Linked DNA regions of Drosophila melanogaster. The gene in region 2 interacts genetically with the main gene of each other region. Each region holds a gene or a part of one and is shown on either strand. Other genes may lie near its edges.

Region 1 (6,230 bases), 5.1 Mb from region 2:
GATAGTATTTCTGAATGCTTACTAACCTAAAAACTCGTTTTGATCTCCTAGCCGCATAGTCAGTTATTTGTTTAAAACATTCTAGGCAAAGCAAATGGATCGAGTTTGAGCAGTTTCTTCAGAAAGAACGCTTTTATGGGCCCGCTAATCATCACATTTCATCTATGATCGTTCGATCGATTGTAAAAGAACACAACGTAAAGTTCACATCTTAAGTGAAATTCCGAGTATATCAACAGATAACTTATTACAATAATTCAAGTGAAATAGATAAGGGATATGACCGTGTATCTAATCTAATCCGCACATTTAAAACCAAACTTCCTGTCACATATTAAAACAAGATGGTACGAAGTCTTTTTTTTTTTTTTTTTTGAAAACAAATTTATCCGACGTAAGAAAATAATGGTCAATGGTTCAAGCGTTGGATTTGTAAGATCCGCATGGCTAGTTATGATAGTATTTTTATACTTTTGGTGATTTTTGATTGCAAAAGCAATGCTTTCTTCTGGTATCCCGCTGAATCCCAATAGTAAGATTCGAATAGATAATACTGCCGTATTTGTATCTTTGCCGTGTTTTATAGCTATATAGAGTTGACGCGTGCTAACTGCCCCTATATGGTGGTCCCAGTTCCCCAAACCCCTCGATTATCCAATGGCCGACATTCAATTGCGCAGCGCGGCGGCAGAGAACTACAGTTAATTGCATTTACAATATTGCCACAGTTAGGTCGATTCTTTATGGTTTGTATAGATTGTATGGGTTTTAGGAGAATGCGAATCTTTTGTGGGACGGAGAGGGGCGGTGCAGCAAGCATGTTCGTTTAACGATCTCCCCAGCTCATGTTTATTTATGAGTTGCCAATCGAATCAATTTCATTCGACTCGACTTGACTCGGACTTGACTTGAATCGCTTTCAACTGTTGTTGTGCAGCTGCAAAATGCAAATTTTGGACAAAATCCATGGTACGTACACATATATACATATGGATATATGAACGTCTGTATGTTGTGCACCTGTGTTCAAGTTAAACGTAGTGCCGTCCTCTCCTTTTAATTATTAAGTAATATACATAAGTGTATAGATCATATCGTCTAATATGCAGAAAAGTCCAATCGAACGGATGAAAGGAACCTATCAGCTTTAACATCCTTTCTATGTACGTATGTACATATGTATGTACACATACCTCAATTATATCCTGTACTGCATATGCACCAACAATTGTGAAGCATTGAAGCATACATAATACATACATATATTTCATATATATTACAAAGCTGTTGCTACTGATCAGAAACTCGTCTATTATAATGCCACAAACACACCCCTTTACCTGTTGCACGCGTTTTCCCAAAGACAATATACCCCTTTTCTGAGCGACTAATTGAAATAGTCCAGTACGAACCCTTATTTTGACAACAGCTGCACGAGTGGCTGCATACGATATATATATATGTATGTATGTATGTGTGTACATATATGTACATGTACTGATATGTGGTATGGATTGGGTTCCCATAGATGGCATGGCTTGGCATGGCATGCAGGTCTAGGGCAGTGCCAAAACCGACGACGAAAGCAACTATCAAATGCCGTTCAAGGCCGTTTGAAATTGCGTGGCAGGCAGAACAAGTTCCACACATCGGTGTGTGTGTGTGTGTGTGTGTGTGTATTGTTATTAACCAGCTGATGTGCGTCCGCGTGTGTGTGGAAGTCTTCGGAAGGGGTGCGCACATCCTAAGTGCGCAAAAGCCATGATTGCAAGCTTTTCGGACTCGGAAAAACAATACAATACCAACGGCAGATTTGGTCATTCAGGCAGGCAAATTGTCAAATAACTAACGGTTACTTTAGTGCTCATTAATGTTTTTATGTGCTTTAATAGATACGCTACTATTTTAGTTATTTCCCCAATGCAATACGTTAAGATACTCATCTACTAAGAGACGAATTTTTATTTACCCATTAATAATAACGGATGATTCGGAAATCGCATACGAAAACGCCTTAGTTGTATATTTACTCCTTTTTCTACCCTTACTACCGTATACGTAATAACAATAATGAGCCAGAGACGATTGGTGGCTAAGTATGTACACTGGCGAAAATACCTTTCAGCAAGCATAACCATAGCTTCCTTTTTACAGGATCCAGATAAAACGCGCAGATAAAAATGTTAGGCAGTGACATCTGTTGCAGATGAAAAGGATTAAGAACTACAGATTCAAAAGGCTGCTCCTTTTCTTTCAGTGTGAGAGAGGGAGAGAGAGAGAGAGGGTTTAGGTGGAGGCAAGTCGGCAGGGGAGCAGGAAGCATGAAATTGAGAGAAAATAAGGATAAACAAGCCGAAGGATATGGGACGGCACTGTTGCTTCGCAAGTGTGTGTGTGCACGTCCTGACCGCGTGCACACACACGCCGTGTGGCCGTGTATAAGTGTGCGAGCGAGAGGGGGCGATCGATGGTGTGAGTGACTGGCAATAGCCGCCGCGTCTTATTGACATTAAAACCGCTGCTGCTGCCGCCGCCGCCGTCGCCAGTCGACTTCACATATACCCGCTCTCTCGAGTCCCTCCCCATACCATTCCATACCATCCCATCCCTACCATTCATCCTGGCTCGTTCTTCTTCCTCTTTTATTTTTAAATAACACCCGGCGCAGATGCTAAACAAGACGCCAGAAATTAAAGTGCAAAGGTGTGTGCTGCAGCAACAACAGCAACAACAGCAACAACAACAGCGTCCTCGACAGAAGGACGATACTTTGGCGTTGTACTTAGCGTCAACCGAAGAATACGAAGACAAGGACCGCGAACAATGTGGGATCAAGGATCTAAGCAGATATATATGTATGTATGCACATATACCAAATGTTCCGAGCGTCCACATGGTGCGGATTTAATCACGCACACACATTGGCATTCATGAAAGGATATCGGATATGTATAGAGTATCAAACGGAACCGCTGCGCAAGATGGAAAACAGATTTGATCGCTAATCAAGTAAATAGATGATACATATCATTGTCAAACTTGAAATTAAATGAATCAAAAGTACTGAACATCCTGAATCAAGCAAATGACATATGGCATCCTATGTGAAAAAATAATATAAAGGATCTCTTAGTGATCTCATTCAAGATTAGCCAACTATCTCCTCGTGATATTATAAAATATTTACGACTCACTCATATCTACTGATTCATGCACTCCTTTGCTAAGAGAGTTATTTATAGGAACTGTGATCTAAGAAGGAAAACTGGTGGAAACAATATGGGCTTTTTCGGAATCTATTTTAGGTCACTTGTTAATATTGTTCCATTGCATATTTAATCCATATGAATTTGGTCTGTGGTTTCTGATTATCAATTTTCAAAGCCCTAATTGCAGTTGAAAAACCGCAGTGGAAAAACACATTTCAATTCGATTTGAAATGAAGTTCATGGAATAACCGAAACGTAGTTTAAATTTTAATTAAAATTTTAATACAGTTTGTCAAGTATTTTCGTTCCAAATCAAATTTGTTTAGGTTTACAAGCGTAATTTTTATTGTTTACCAACGTGATAGATGTACAATAAAAATATATAAACGATCTAGACCCAAGCAATTGCATTAAAAACTTGACAAGCTGTATGTACATCTACATTATTTTCGAGTAAAATAACAACAAGATAAAGCTGGCTTGTTCTCAACAACTATCAGGCTAAAAAAAAAAAATGAAAATAAAAACAAACAGAATCGCAAAAAATTGCCGAATGGAAATTTTGTGGCACGCAAACTTGTTGCTCCATCTGCGTGTGAGTGAGATGTGTATGCTAGTGTGTATGTGAGCCAGTCTATGAGCGCGCGAGTTTGTGTGTGTTTGTGTGCGAGGAGAAGCTTACTTTGCGATGTTTAAATAATAAATGATTTATTTATTTTTCGGTTTGTTTTTGTTTTGATTTCCACCTGGGCTGATGCATTTTGGTGCCCACTTTTACGAGAAAACGCCGAACTAATCGTTTTCGTTATATGTATTTATTATTATTTTTTTGTTGCTTTTTGCATGTCACCAACAGAAACAGAAAAAAAAAACGAAACGAAACACACTGAAAAACGCGCGCGTACACTTGTATATATGTGAATGTGCGCTGGTATTGGCGCGCGTGTGAGTGTGAGCGAATTTGCAAGAGACGGGGCGTATGAGCAATGCCGTGGCGAAAACTTTGCCACTTTTGTTGTCTGCGACGAAAGCAAAAACAGCGAGACACCGTAAAAAAAAAAACAAGTAATATAAACACAGCTTTACATGCGCAGTTTTTGTTGTTGTTTTTATCCGGCTGCTGTGGCGTTGCACTGCGTATTACTGTTTTACACTTTTTTTTTACTTTTTAGAGCGTCCGCGTTGCGGCGACGCGTTGTAAGCGGTTCGAAAGGTAGCGCAGCACTGGCGCTCTGCCGCCAATTCGAACAGCTGAGCGCCAGCCGAAGAGAGAGAGCCGAAGAGTGCCGAACGACGCAGCTCCGCTACCACTACCACCGCAATGGCGCTCAGTCGCGGTCGCTGTGCGCTGCTGTGCTCTGCTGTAAGCGCTCTTACATTCCGCGCCCGAATTTTTCGTGCTTTTCCCTTGTTTTCCCTGTGGGCCAGCGTTTCGCTGCTGCTCGGACTCGGTTTGGGCCAACACTTGTCGCCTCTTGGCCATTATGCAACGACAGCGAAACGAAGGTGCTCACGAAGTGGCCAAGCTGCTCTCTGATTGGTCGGCGGTCAGTGCCACGAGGCCAGCCGAAGTTCTCTCGCGAGAACCCAAGAGCACTCTCTCCCTCTCTTTTGGGAGAGATGAGATAGCAAAGAAAAGCCAAAACACTAGAACAATCCAGAAGCCAAGTTTTCCGGCTTGCACATACGCCGTATAATCCGCATTTTTTGCGAACTCTAAACTCGAGTCTATCAGCTATAATATTACAATTCGTTCACTATAAACAAATAAACTAATATAATTTTGCTCAGAAATCGATGCACTATGATGAGAGAATAGTGAAAAACAATTCTCAGTTAATAGCTTTTAAACTGCTCTGCAAATGGGAAAACAAATTAAAATATACACATTTTCATGCCAAATAATAGGATATCCTATCCTTCATTATATAAGCATAAACAATGAAAATATTCTAGCTCGCTTTGATCTTTTAATGTGTGTATAATGTATTAGTACGTGTACTTTAGTCAAAGAACTATGCACAAATACCGGTTGAACTTTTTTTGGGTATGGAAAAGCAACCGCATGTGAGCGAAAAGAATGTTTGGGGATTGAAGGCGTGATATTGGGCGGAGTGGCCAAAACATTGGCAAGGGAGCCATCAGCATCAGCATCCACATCCACATTCACATCCACATCATCGCCAGCGTCGAGAGCTCTTTCGATCGAAATAAATTCGAATCGAGTGCGATTCGTCAACAAGGCGAAGATAAAGATTTCAGAGCAATAGAACAGAAAATCAATGTTATTCAATCAAAAGCCAATGCAAAATTGCTTTGCACTCTGGCACACTGCTATGTAAATATGTTAGAGATTCAACTTTTACAAATTCTATTTTCCAAGTCCAAGTAAATATTTTAAAGAACTATCGTGCTTAAGGCATTATTATGATTAAAAATAAACTGATTGCAGCTGATAAGAATCGTGAATTCAGCTCATTATAGTCTCAACGTACTTTGTGAGCACTTTGTATTGCCTCGCTTCGGTTGATTTATTTATTTCTTTTTGGGTTTGGTTTGGTTTTGTTTTGGTTTGCTTTCTATTTTCTATAGTTGATAAGGATAAAATTGGTTCATACTCGAATTATTGTTTTACCTCAGAACATAAAATAGTTGCAAATAATACAAGGCAGAGAGATTGATGTTTTAAGCAGTAAATAAAGGAATGGTATATTCATATAAGGATTATATATACATTCAAAATCCAATAATATCAAATATTTCGGATATCTCAACAATCTTGCCAAAAGTCGGAAATCTCGCCAATAACGTTATTTTTTGCTTATAAAGAAATCTGTTTGCCGTTGTTTTTGCACAAACACTCAAACACACAAGCCCAGCTGATAAGATAGTCGAGAGTCCATAGAAATGCCAAACCGAGAACTATACGAAAGTAAGAAAGTAAGAAAGTGCGGGCAGAAGGAAGTGGGTGCGGATGGGATCGAATTTAGCGCGTGCCCAAATGTCCCGTTAATGAATACA
Region 2 (4,565 bases):
GTGCCACAAGAAGTATTTAAAGTTTCAAAACTATGCACTATTTTTGAGCATTTTTGTAACGGAATTTTCGAAAGTACCTTTCTTCAATTTAGAAAACTCTTGTTTGGCCGCTGACACAACTTCCCCCATCACTGCACGCATACAAATATGAAAATTATGGCAAAATTTTACTCTATGAGTATTAGGGCATACTTACGATCGATCCAAAAAATCCAATTAGTCAAAAGCGTAGCGTACATATCATTCAAATACAAAAAGACATCAATCCCAGGTGGATCGAAATGGATGCGAGATGATGGATGAGCCAGCAGGAATCTTTTTAAATCCACACCAACGCACTCAGGCACGTGTGGCAAACTATGTTCTAATCCTAAATAAATGATGTGCAATAATTTAGTTTATGTAGTGGCATATACATAATTAAGAAAGTTACATTTTATGCTGTTTACAAAAAGCAAATAACTAAATGCTAGTCAACAAAAACGAAATCAGTTTAATAGTTTTAGTGTGTACGAGCTAAATATTCGGCAAAATGATTTACAAGAAACCCACAAAAATACATAAGAGTGTACAAATAATGGTAAATGTGGTGTGCACTGAAAGAAAACGAGGAGTGCGTTGACAATTCGCACCAAAAGCCGAATCAGCAATATTACTTTATGGAGACATTTGAAATACAAGCGACTTGCAAATTGTCCGCGAATTCTTCGGTTTTCTTCTGTTTGCGCCACTGAGTGTTAAATAATTGCATATATAAATACCTGCATAAAATTATATGAAGTGTATTATACAAAACTGAATGTTTCATTTCGAAAACTGGGCAGTTAGTGAATAAAATGGGGCTGCCATTTTTAATTGGTAACTATAAAGCTTTAGTTTCATTCTTTGTTATAATACGTAAAAAATCAACTTTAAAATTGACTAGTTTGTGTTATGTTATTAAATAATATAGCATTGCCTTTTAACGGTTTTCTATTTTAGAAATTTCATTTGACCACCATTCTTCAGCCTTTTGGTATTTTCTAGTTTAGTATTTCCTACCAAATAAAAAACTTATTCTATGATTATGCCCATTAATTTTTACTCAAATCCCATTTAAAATTTTTGATTAATTGGTGTATATTTTAACTTAATATTAAAAACTATATTCAAAATCAATAAGTAATCTATAATAACACAGTACCTAGAAAACCAGCTGATTGCTGATAATATGTAAGACATGGCGATAGACTTTTGAAAGCTTTTGCATTTCAACTTTTATTCGCCATACAAGTTGCATATAAGTGAACATGTACGCATTAAGATCAGGAACTTTAAAAACCACAACGTTCGATCTCCATCTATCAATTTGAAATTGGTATATATTGTAAATAACGCTGATAATAGGATTTAAAATCACACCAGCTGATATACGATATATCGATTGGGCTATCGCAAGCAGTGGCGCCCCATCTCTACGATAGTGCTTTCGCTGCACGCCGACGAACGCTTCGTGCAACTTCGTGCAGCTTCGTGCCACTCGGTTCGCAGTGGTTCGCTACGAACCGCCGACGGACGCTTTAGTTTGGCTGCAACGCTTTGCTGAGAACAGACCAAATCCGAAGCGAGCGGAGCCGAAGAGAAACCGAACAAACCAAACAAACCAAGCCAAACAATCCGAAGAAATCGCGTCGTGAGTTGTGTGGAAGGAAAAGCGGTTAAATAACGCGGCGATCTTAACTGTTGTTCTTCTTTTTTTTTTTCGGTGCTGGTGTATTTGCACATTCTACTTTTTTTTTCGTTCTATAAAGTGCCACTTTGTGTGTCTCGCTGGTCGTTTGTTTTCTTTTTGTCGTGGGAAATGCGCGCGCGCATTTAAGAAGTGGCAGGAAAACTCCAAACGCAGCTGGTAAAGATTCAAGTTTTCCAAAAAAAAAAAAAAAATAATAATAAAAGAAAACCAACAAGAAAAACCGAAAACCCAAAAAACAACAAAAAACACGAATGCATTGCCAGCAGATGATAAAGAAGGAGAGCAAGAAGAAGAGCGCACCGCGACGCCTTCTGCTGTTGTGGTTGTTGTTGCCGTTCTTGGCCGTGTTTGTTGTTGTCGTTGTTGCCGCTTTTATCTGCATTGTCTTGCGTCTTAACTCGTTTCGCTTTGGCCTTTTCGGCTCTCCTCTCTCCCCGTTTTCCACACTCCCCCACTCTTCTCATCATGCCAATGCGTGTGTGTGTGTGTGTGTGTGTGTGTGCCGTCCATGGATGCGCTTTGCCACTGGCTTTTCCCTCTCTTCTCCACGTTCCTCTGTCTCTTTGCCACACACACGCCTTTTTTCGGCTTACGGCGGCGGCAGCAGCGGCAACAACAACAACAACAAGCTGCCGCAAAAAATCGATAACGGTATTGGCAGCGGCGGCAGCACAAGAAAACGGCAACAACTTCCGCTTCCCCAAAAGTTGCAAAATGTCACCTGCCCCAAGGATTAGATAATCAAAAAGGGCACGCGAAGAGAGAGAGCAAAGAAAAGCAATAACCAAGGGAGAGAGAGAGAGAGAGAGTGTGTGGGAGTGGGCTTAGGCTTGGGCTTGCCACGCCCCCCGCCTTAAAGCGTGGCTGTCACAATTCTTGTTTTAATTAAGAGCCAAACATTCAATTACAACTCGCTTGCTCTCTCACTCGCTCCCTATCGCTGTCTCATTCGCACCCTCTTACTCTCCGCTCAGCCATCTATGCATCTTGGACCTACAACAACAATAATAACAACAACAACAACAAGAGATACAGAACAAGGAGGCAAAAAAGTAACAGAAGAAGAAGAAGCAGCAGCAGTCAACTTGCAACACAATCGTTGTTGCTTTTTGGGTAAGTGTTTTCCTTTGACGAAATTCAGTTTGAGATACTAAGATACTTTTGCATCTCTGAAGTACATATATACGTAGTTATGGATAAGATACACATGAAATCGGGAGAAGGTTGAAACGTTTTTATTCATTTTAATATTTAATACAAATTAGAATATGAGTAAAGTAAATATTATATTTTCTCAATACATGTATATAAAATTTAATATTTTATTGAAAAGAAAGAAAGAAAGAAAGAAAGCAAAAATAGAATGAAAAATATAATCGAAAATCCTATTTAAATAACATGAATATTATTATATATGTAGAACTGAAATTTTATCCAAAAAAGGAAAATAAAATTAATATTAGTACTAACTACTTATAGCGTTTTTCATAAACAATTATTATCTTTAAATTGTTGTTTAACTAGATTCCAGTTGGATATAACACAAATCCGTCAACTTTAACTGCTGATCGTTATTAGCTTACTTTTTATTGTTTCGATAAAAAGTAAGACTTTTAGTTTATGACCAATCATTTTTACGATGATCATACATTTATGGCTATTAATAACAACTACTTAACTGTGTATTTGACTAACTAATGACTTGACTAGATAATTGTAGCTTCTAAGCCAGTTTAAATGGCTTCTATTCATAGATTTTCACTAGGGATTTCGAATTATTTAGCTCATTTATTATCTGAATCATTAGGGCGATGGCTATAAATAATTGCAACCCTTTTAACAAATTGCCTTTAATATTATAGTTTTAAATTGTGTGTGCTGCAGCAGCTGACACATGTGTTTTCTTTTCGCCCCGCCGACTTTTCATATTTGTGTTTGTTGGAATATACTATTCAACCTACAAAAATAACGTTAAACAACACTACTTTATATTTGATATGAATGGCCACACCTTTTATGCCATAAAACATATTGTAAGAGAATACCACTCTTTTTATTCCTTCTTTCCTTCTTGTACGTTTTTTGCTGTGAGTAGGTCGTGGTGCTGGTGTTGCAGTTGAAATAACTTAAAATATAAATCATAAAACTCAAACATAAACTTGACTATTTATTTATTTATTAAGAAAGGAAATATAAATTATAAATTACAACAGGTTATGGGCCCAGTCCATGCCTAATAAACAATTAAATTGTGAATTAAAGATTGTGAAAATAAATTGTGAAATAGCATTTTTTTCACATTCTTGTGAAATAGCTTTTTTTTTCACATTCTTGTGAAATTATTTCCTTCTCAGAATTTGAGTGAAAAATGGACAAGGCTAAACGTAATATTAAGCCGTTTGATGGCGAGAAGTACGCGATTTGGAAATTTAGAATTAGGGCTCTTTTAGCCGAGCAAGATGTGCTTAAAGTAGTTGATGGTTTAATGCCTAACGAGGTAGATGACTCCTGGAAAAAGGCAGAGCGTTGTGCAAAAAGTACAATAATAGAGTACCTAAGCGACTCGTTTTTAAATTTCGCAACAAGCGACATTACGGCGCGTCAGATTCTTGAGAATTTGGACGCCGTTTATGAACGAAAAAGTTTGGCGTCGCAACTGGCGCTGCGAAAACGTTTGCTTTCTCTGAAGCTATCGAGTGAGATGTCACTATTAAGCCATTTTCATATTTTTGACGAACTTATAAGTGAATTGTTGGCAGCTGGTGCAAAAATAGAAGAGATGGATAAAATTTCTCATCTACTGATCACATTGCCTTCGTGTTACGATGGAATT
Region 3 (4,664 bases), on a different chromosome or scaffold from region 2:
GGCATCCTTGATGTTCATTCGAACCCCGGAGCTGCTGAAGGTCAGGTTCCGGCATTCGTTGCTTAGCTGCACGTTCACATCCCGCTCACCTAAGTACTTTCGCATAGTTTTGGGTAGGTTCTCCAGACCGCCTTTCAGCCCGTACATGGCCCACTTCTCCTTTACCGCCTGCGCATACAGCTTGGGCTGTCTTTCGGCAAATAGTCCATCCTTGGTGTCCTTGGTCTTGTTCTTCTCAAAGCGGGAAATGAGTGTGCCCTTGAGCACTCCTCCGTACTTCTGTTCCTTTTCAAAGAGCCCCTCCATCAGGAAGCGCACACTTATTTCTCGCGCGTCACCGGCGCAAATACCGCAGATCATGGGACTGATGGCGTAGTCGGCTATCTCCTTACCAAACCGCCGCTCAGCGAAACTGTAGATGCTCTCATCCTCCAGCTTCGCTTTCTTGCTTGCTGTGAACAGATCGCGAAGAACCGCTTTGTATAGCGGCTTCGTGAAGGGAGGCAGGACGCCGAAGAGACCCTTGGGACTGTTGGGCAGCATGCAGAGCTGTCCCTTGGCATACAGCATTCGGTTGCGTGCTGCGACATGACTGCGTCGAATGGGAGTCACCTCCAGCTTCAGATCCTCCACCAATTCTAGCGTATTGGCACCTGGCTCACCAACTGGGCGTATGGTTCGCGGTCCGCTCTCGAAGATGAAGTTGCGATCCTTGCGATTCTCCGACCGCACCCATCCGCCCACACGGGGCGAGGCCTCGTAGATGGTCAGCGGCTTCCCGAATCGCCGCAACAGGTAGTATCCGGCGGATAGTCCACTCAATCCGCCTCCCAGCACGGCCGTCGTCATGGTCCTTCTGCTGCTTCTCGTTGCTCCCGAATCCCTTAGAGGATTCAGACTAGTTCTGGTTTGCAGACGAAAAAATCTATGCCGGCTTCGATCGTTCAGACCAAAATAAACCCAGGTGACATAACTATCGTTGAAGCTATCGATAAGCTCAAATCCAAAATCGCTGAGCTTGCAATCGATGTTATATGCGATTGAAGAGTTTTGAATTGACAATTCTGCAGAAAATAAAATCAAATAAAGGAAGGGATAAATATTTTATAAAATAAATAGCATTTATTGTTATACTTATTTTGGTAACTACAGCTAACATAATATCTTATAATCGAAACAATGGTTTTAGAATATTTATTGTTAAATTATGTAAAGTTAAATAAAATATAGTGCAATTGATAATACTTAATTTAAGCATTGATACAAGAATACAAATGCATAGTACTTTTATTTGCCATTATTTTATCTCATTTAACATGCATTTGTGCACCCGTCCCAAAAGTATGCAATGAATTTCTTCCGACATTCCTCATACGCCACGTGTGCATCGTGCGGAAGTTCACTTGCACCTGCATCGGCACCATTACCATCATCATCACCATCACCGCGGCACTGGGTCATTCATAGTGAATGGGTTTTGGCGCCAGTTTTGATGAATCGAACGAAGCGTCCAGCCCGCACCAACCGCAGGACTCCGAAAAGCTCCCAAAGACGAGCTTGGGCCGTGCGGAAGTACATTGGGCCACCGATTTCCATGTCGTCGGAGTCGACATCGCGCAGAATTGTATACGCTGCTGACGAGAAAGGTTGGTCCTCGCGTTTGAGCGCGTCGCGTCTTTTATTCTGGGTGTGTGAGTGAGTGGACTGTGTGGAAAAGTGCCTATCGCGTATATGTATATTCACGGGACCCATACACACACACACAGCTGCAGCACTTGGAAATGTGAAAAATTTTCAAGCTGCGTTTGCCAATTACGGGGAAAATTGAGCAAAAAACGTCTTAAAATCCGGGCAATTATCGTGGCCATTTGCGGAACGGCAATTGTGCAAAATTCGGTATCCGTTGAAAACGGGCTCAGTGAACGTGAAAATGTGCCACACACACACTTACAACGCAGGAAATTCAATTAATTAGTGACCGAGTGTGTGTGTGTGTGTTCGCCCATAAAACGGCGATTGTGATTGCGAAAAAAGTGTTGCATACATAAAGGAGCTAAGAAGTGGACCAACGAGCAACACTAAAGGAAAACTCTTTAGAAATACAGTTTTTCGCTTTTTTTTTTGGCACTGCTGCAGGTTTTCATTTAAAAGATACATTTGTTGAAGTCAACACACACGGACACACACACATGCGCATACGGCACAGTTTTTCGTTCGTTTTTAAAACGAGCACACCACAAGTTCCCCAAAACGAAAGGACGAAGGGACCCGACCCGATGATAAAGTCGATGTTCCAGGCCGGAGATACACTTGTATCGTTCCCCTGCCTTTGCCGCTGCTGTCATCGTCAATGTTATTTTTGTTGCTTCCTACTCGTCGTCCTTCGTGTGTCGCAGGATACCTTGGTATATGTGTGTCAGTCAGTCACTGGCCGAGCGTGGGTGTGTGTGTGCGTGCGCCAGGATACGCAGATACCCAGATACCTACAAATGAAGCCACCAAATCCAGGCGAGTTCAATGCGCGGCCAGGACGAAGGACTAAGCTCTGTTTACATTGGCTCACGAATGCCCATTTTCCAAGCCCCCTGTATTTTCCGCCCGTTGGCGTGCCGTGGGAAATTGTGTCGCCTGCTTATTTATTATGAAAATGCAACTTTCATTTGACTCGGCATTTGTCCCGTTTCCATTGTTTGCAGGCACATTAGGCAGCTCGTTAAGCGCATGAAAGTGTGTGTCCTGCGGGTGTGCGAGTGTGTGTGTGTGACACGAAGGGGAACTAAAAACTAGGGCAGTGTGTTTCCGTTTCAACGACATGCCGCAGGCGAAAGAACGAGTCCGTCCGCAGGACAGCAAAGCCTCGCTAATCGGGCAGGAAATGAATAACTTAAAAAGTTACCAATGACAAGTTTGACATTAAATGTATCATATACAAATAACATGCAAACGAAAGTGATAATTGTAAAGCATGTTGTATATTGCCAAAAATTCTAGTTTTTGGTACCACATTGCGTATGCTTAACCAAAATGTGCGACTTTCGCAGGCAAGGAAAAAGCTTTCTGCCCGACAATTTTCGGATTCCCTGCATCGCGCAGCCGCCAATACGCCAGCAGCAATTGTGAGAAATTGAGAGAAATTCTCAGAGAATTCTCCGAGAACTGAGAATTTAAAAACGGCGAGAATAGTGCTGATTTTGCTTTCAAGTCTGCTTCGCATCTTTATTTATTTATTTACTTGACACGCTTGCTTTTCCGGCTACGGAAAATGGTGATACAATGTCTAAAATAATATTAATTTAATAGAATATATATACGAATACAAATATATACGTAATATCATTGACAAATGTCTGCGGTCGTAAAAAAATTAAAAACGCAAATAACGCTGACAGCCTAACTAAAAAATATAATTAATTACCGCGTTCGTCGCGCTGCCTTGGCAAATTAAAAAGTATTTAAATTATCGCTCAACTTAATAAATCTCTTGCAGCTTAACACACAAGGAAAAATTTCGTGGGCAAACAAAGCTAAATAAGTTGTGAAAGGAAACATGAGCAGTGTGACTAAGCGCAGTTTCTAATTTAACCAAATTCCAATTCAAATTCAAAAGAACGAACAACTATTGATCAAGACGGCAAAGAAAGAAGCAAACAAACCAAAACGCACAATGAAACTGATAAGCTTAACGCAGCTGATAACACAATGAAACTCATCCACGGATCCGAAATGCAATTATGAAATAATCAGCAAGCCGCAATCCATCAGCCAGTGAGGAAAATCCAGCCAGCCAGCCCAAGAATTTCCACGTGCAACATTGGCGAGCCGCAGCGACCACAAATCGTCCAAACACATTGATGTGCGATTTGAGCGTGTGAATGTTGGCAGCCCTGGAGCCCTGCCTCGGTGGTTTAGCCAGTACTAGGTGAGTACTCCCAGTCCTTCATCCATTCGCCCAAAAAACACTGTTCCAAATCCCAATTCGATTGCACCACCACCACAACATCCATACACTGTGCCGCATAGAAACCCGAATATGAGAACGGATAGCGAGGGGAAAGCCGTAGCAGCCGCAAGATCCACTTCGAAATCCAGAAAGACCATCAACACCACATCAGCAAGCGGTCCGCCCGGACCGAAACCGGAACGAACATGGCCAGCTGGTGCCCCAATTGCCACGAACTGCCACCGTTCTATCCGCCCATCACGCCAAAGGTAAAGCCCTTGATGTCGTACGTGATAAATCCACAGATACATATTCGTACGCCTCGCTTGTGAAAGACCATCTGAAATTGTAGAAGTCACGTTAGCGGCTCTGCAATGATCTGTATACGGACTACTGGGATTAACCTATCTCTCCAGCTCGTCAATCAATCAATCATCAATCAATCAGTCATTTTTCCAGCGATAGTTCGCAGTGCTAGACGCTGCTACTCTTATCACATTTTGCTCTACTTCGAACATATAAAAGGCAGTGATCTTTAATCCAATAGCTTATCACTTTGTTTTGAATCCAAAGGAGCGAGCTCATTATATTATATATATCATTAAAATGTAAGCCTTATTTCTGTTAATTAAGTGTACAACTTGGTGTAAAACGATAATGTAATCGAGAGATATTTGTAAAATTTGTTGTAAATATATATAATGTACATAATCTTATCAGTACT

Evidence for each region. Genes that interact genetically often act in the same process or in processes that back each other up.
Region 1: of rut (region 2) and amn, changing one suppresses a phenotype caused by changing the other (phenotypic suppression), as found in Drosophila melanogaster (one study listed by BioGRID).
Region 3: of rut (region 2) and slo, changing one suppresses a phenotype caused by changing the other (phenotypic suppression), as found in Drosophila melanogaster (one study listed by BioGRID).

The regions. Positions count from the first base shown.
Region 1 is NC_004354.4:19,885,558-19,891,787, reverse strand, and holds amn (amnesiac), read left to right. Parts: upstream 1-1,727; 5' UTR 1,728-4,295; coding exon 4,296-4,838; 3' UTR 4,839-5,680; downstream 5,681-6,230. UniProt on the Drosophila melanogaster protein: Required for associative learning and memory in adults. Expression pattern suggests a modulatory role in memory formation. Controls neurotransmitter-mediated signaling pathways associated with the structure of the larval peripheral nerve.
Region 2 is NC_004354.4:14,823,069-14,827,633, reverse strand, and holds the start of rut (rutabaga), read left to right. Parts: upstream 1-1,560; 5' UTR 1,561-1,672; intron 1,673-1,728; exon of another isoform or gene 1,729-1,888; intron 1,889-2,706; 5' UTR 2,707-2,845; intron 2,846-4,565. UniProt on the Drosophila melanogaster protein: This is a membrane-bound, calmodulin-sensitive adenylyl cyclase. Inactivation of this cyclase leads to a learning and memory defect.
Region 3 is NT_033777.3:24,660,877-24,665,540, forward strand, and holds the start of slo (slowpoke), read left to right. Parts: upstream 1-1,614; 5' UTR 1,615-1,687; intron 1,688-3,487; 5' UTR 3,488-3,919; intron 3,920-4,020; 5' UTR 4,021-4,209; exon of another isoform or gene 4,210-4,548; intron 4,549-4,664. Other genes in the region: Ppox (protoporphyrinogen oxidase), read right to left, coding at 1-849. UniProt on the Drosophila melanogaster protein: Potassium channel activated by both membrane depolarization or increase in cytosolic Ca(2+) that mediates export of K(+). Its activation dampens the excitatory events that elevate the cytosolic Ca(2+) concentration and/or depolarize the cell membrane.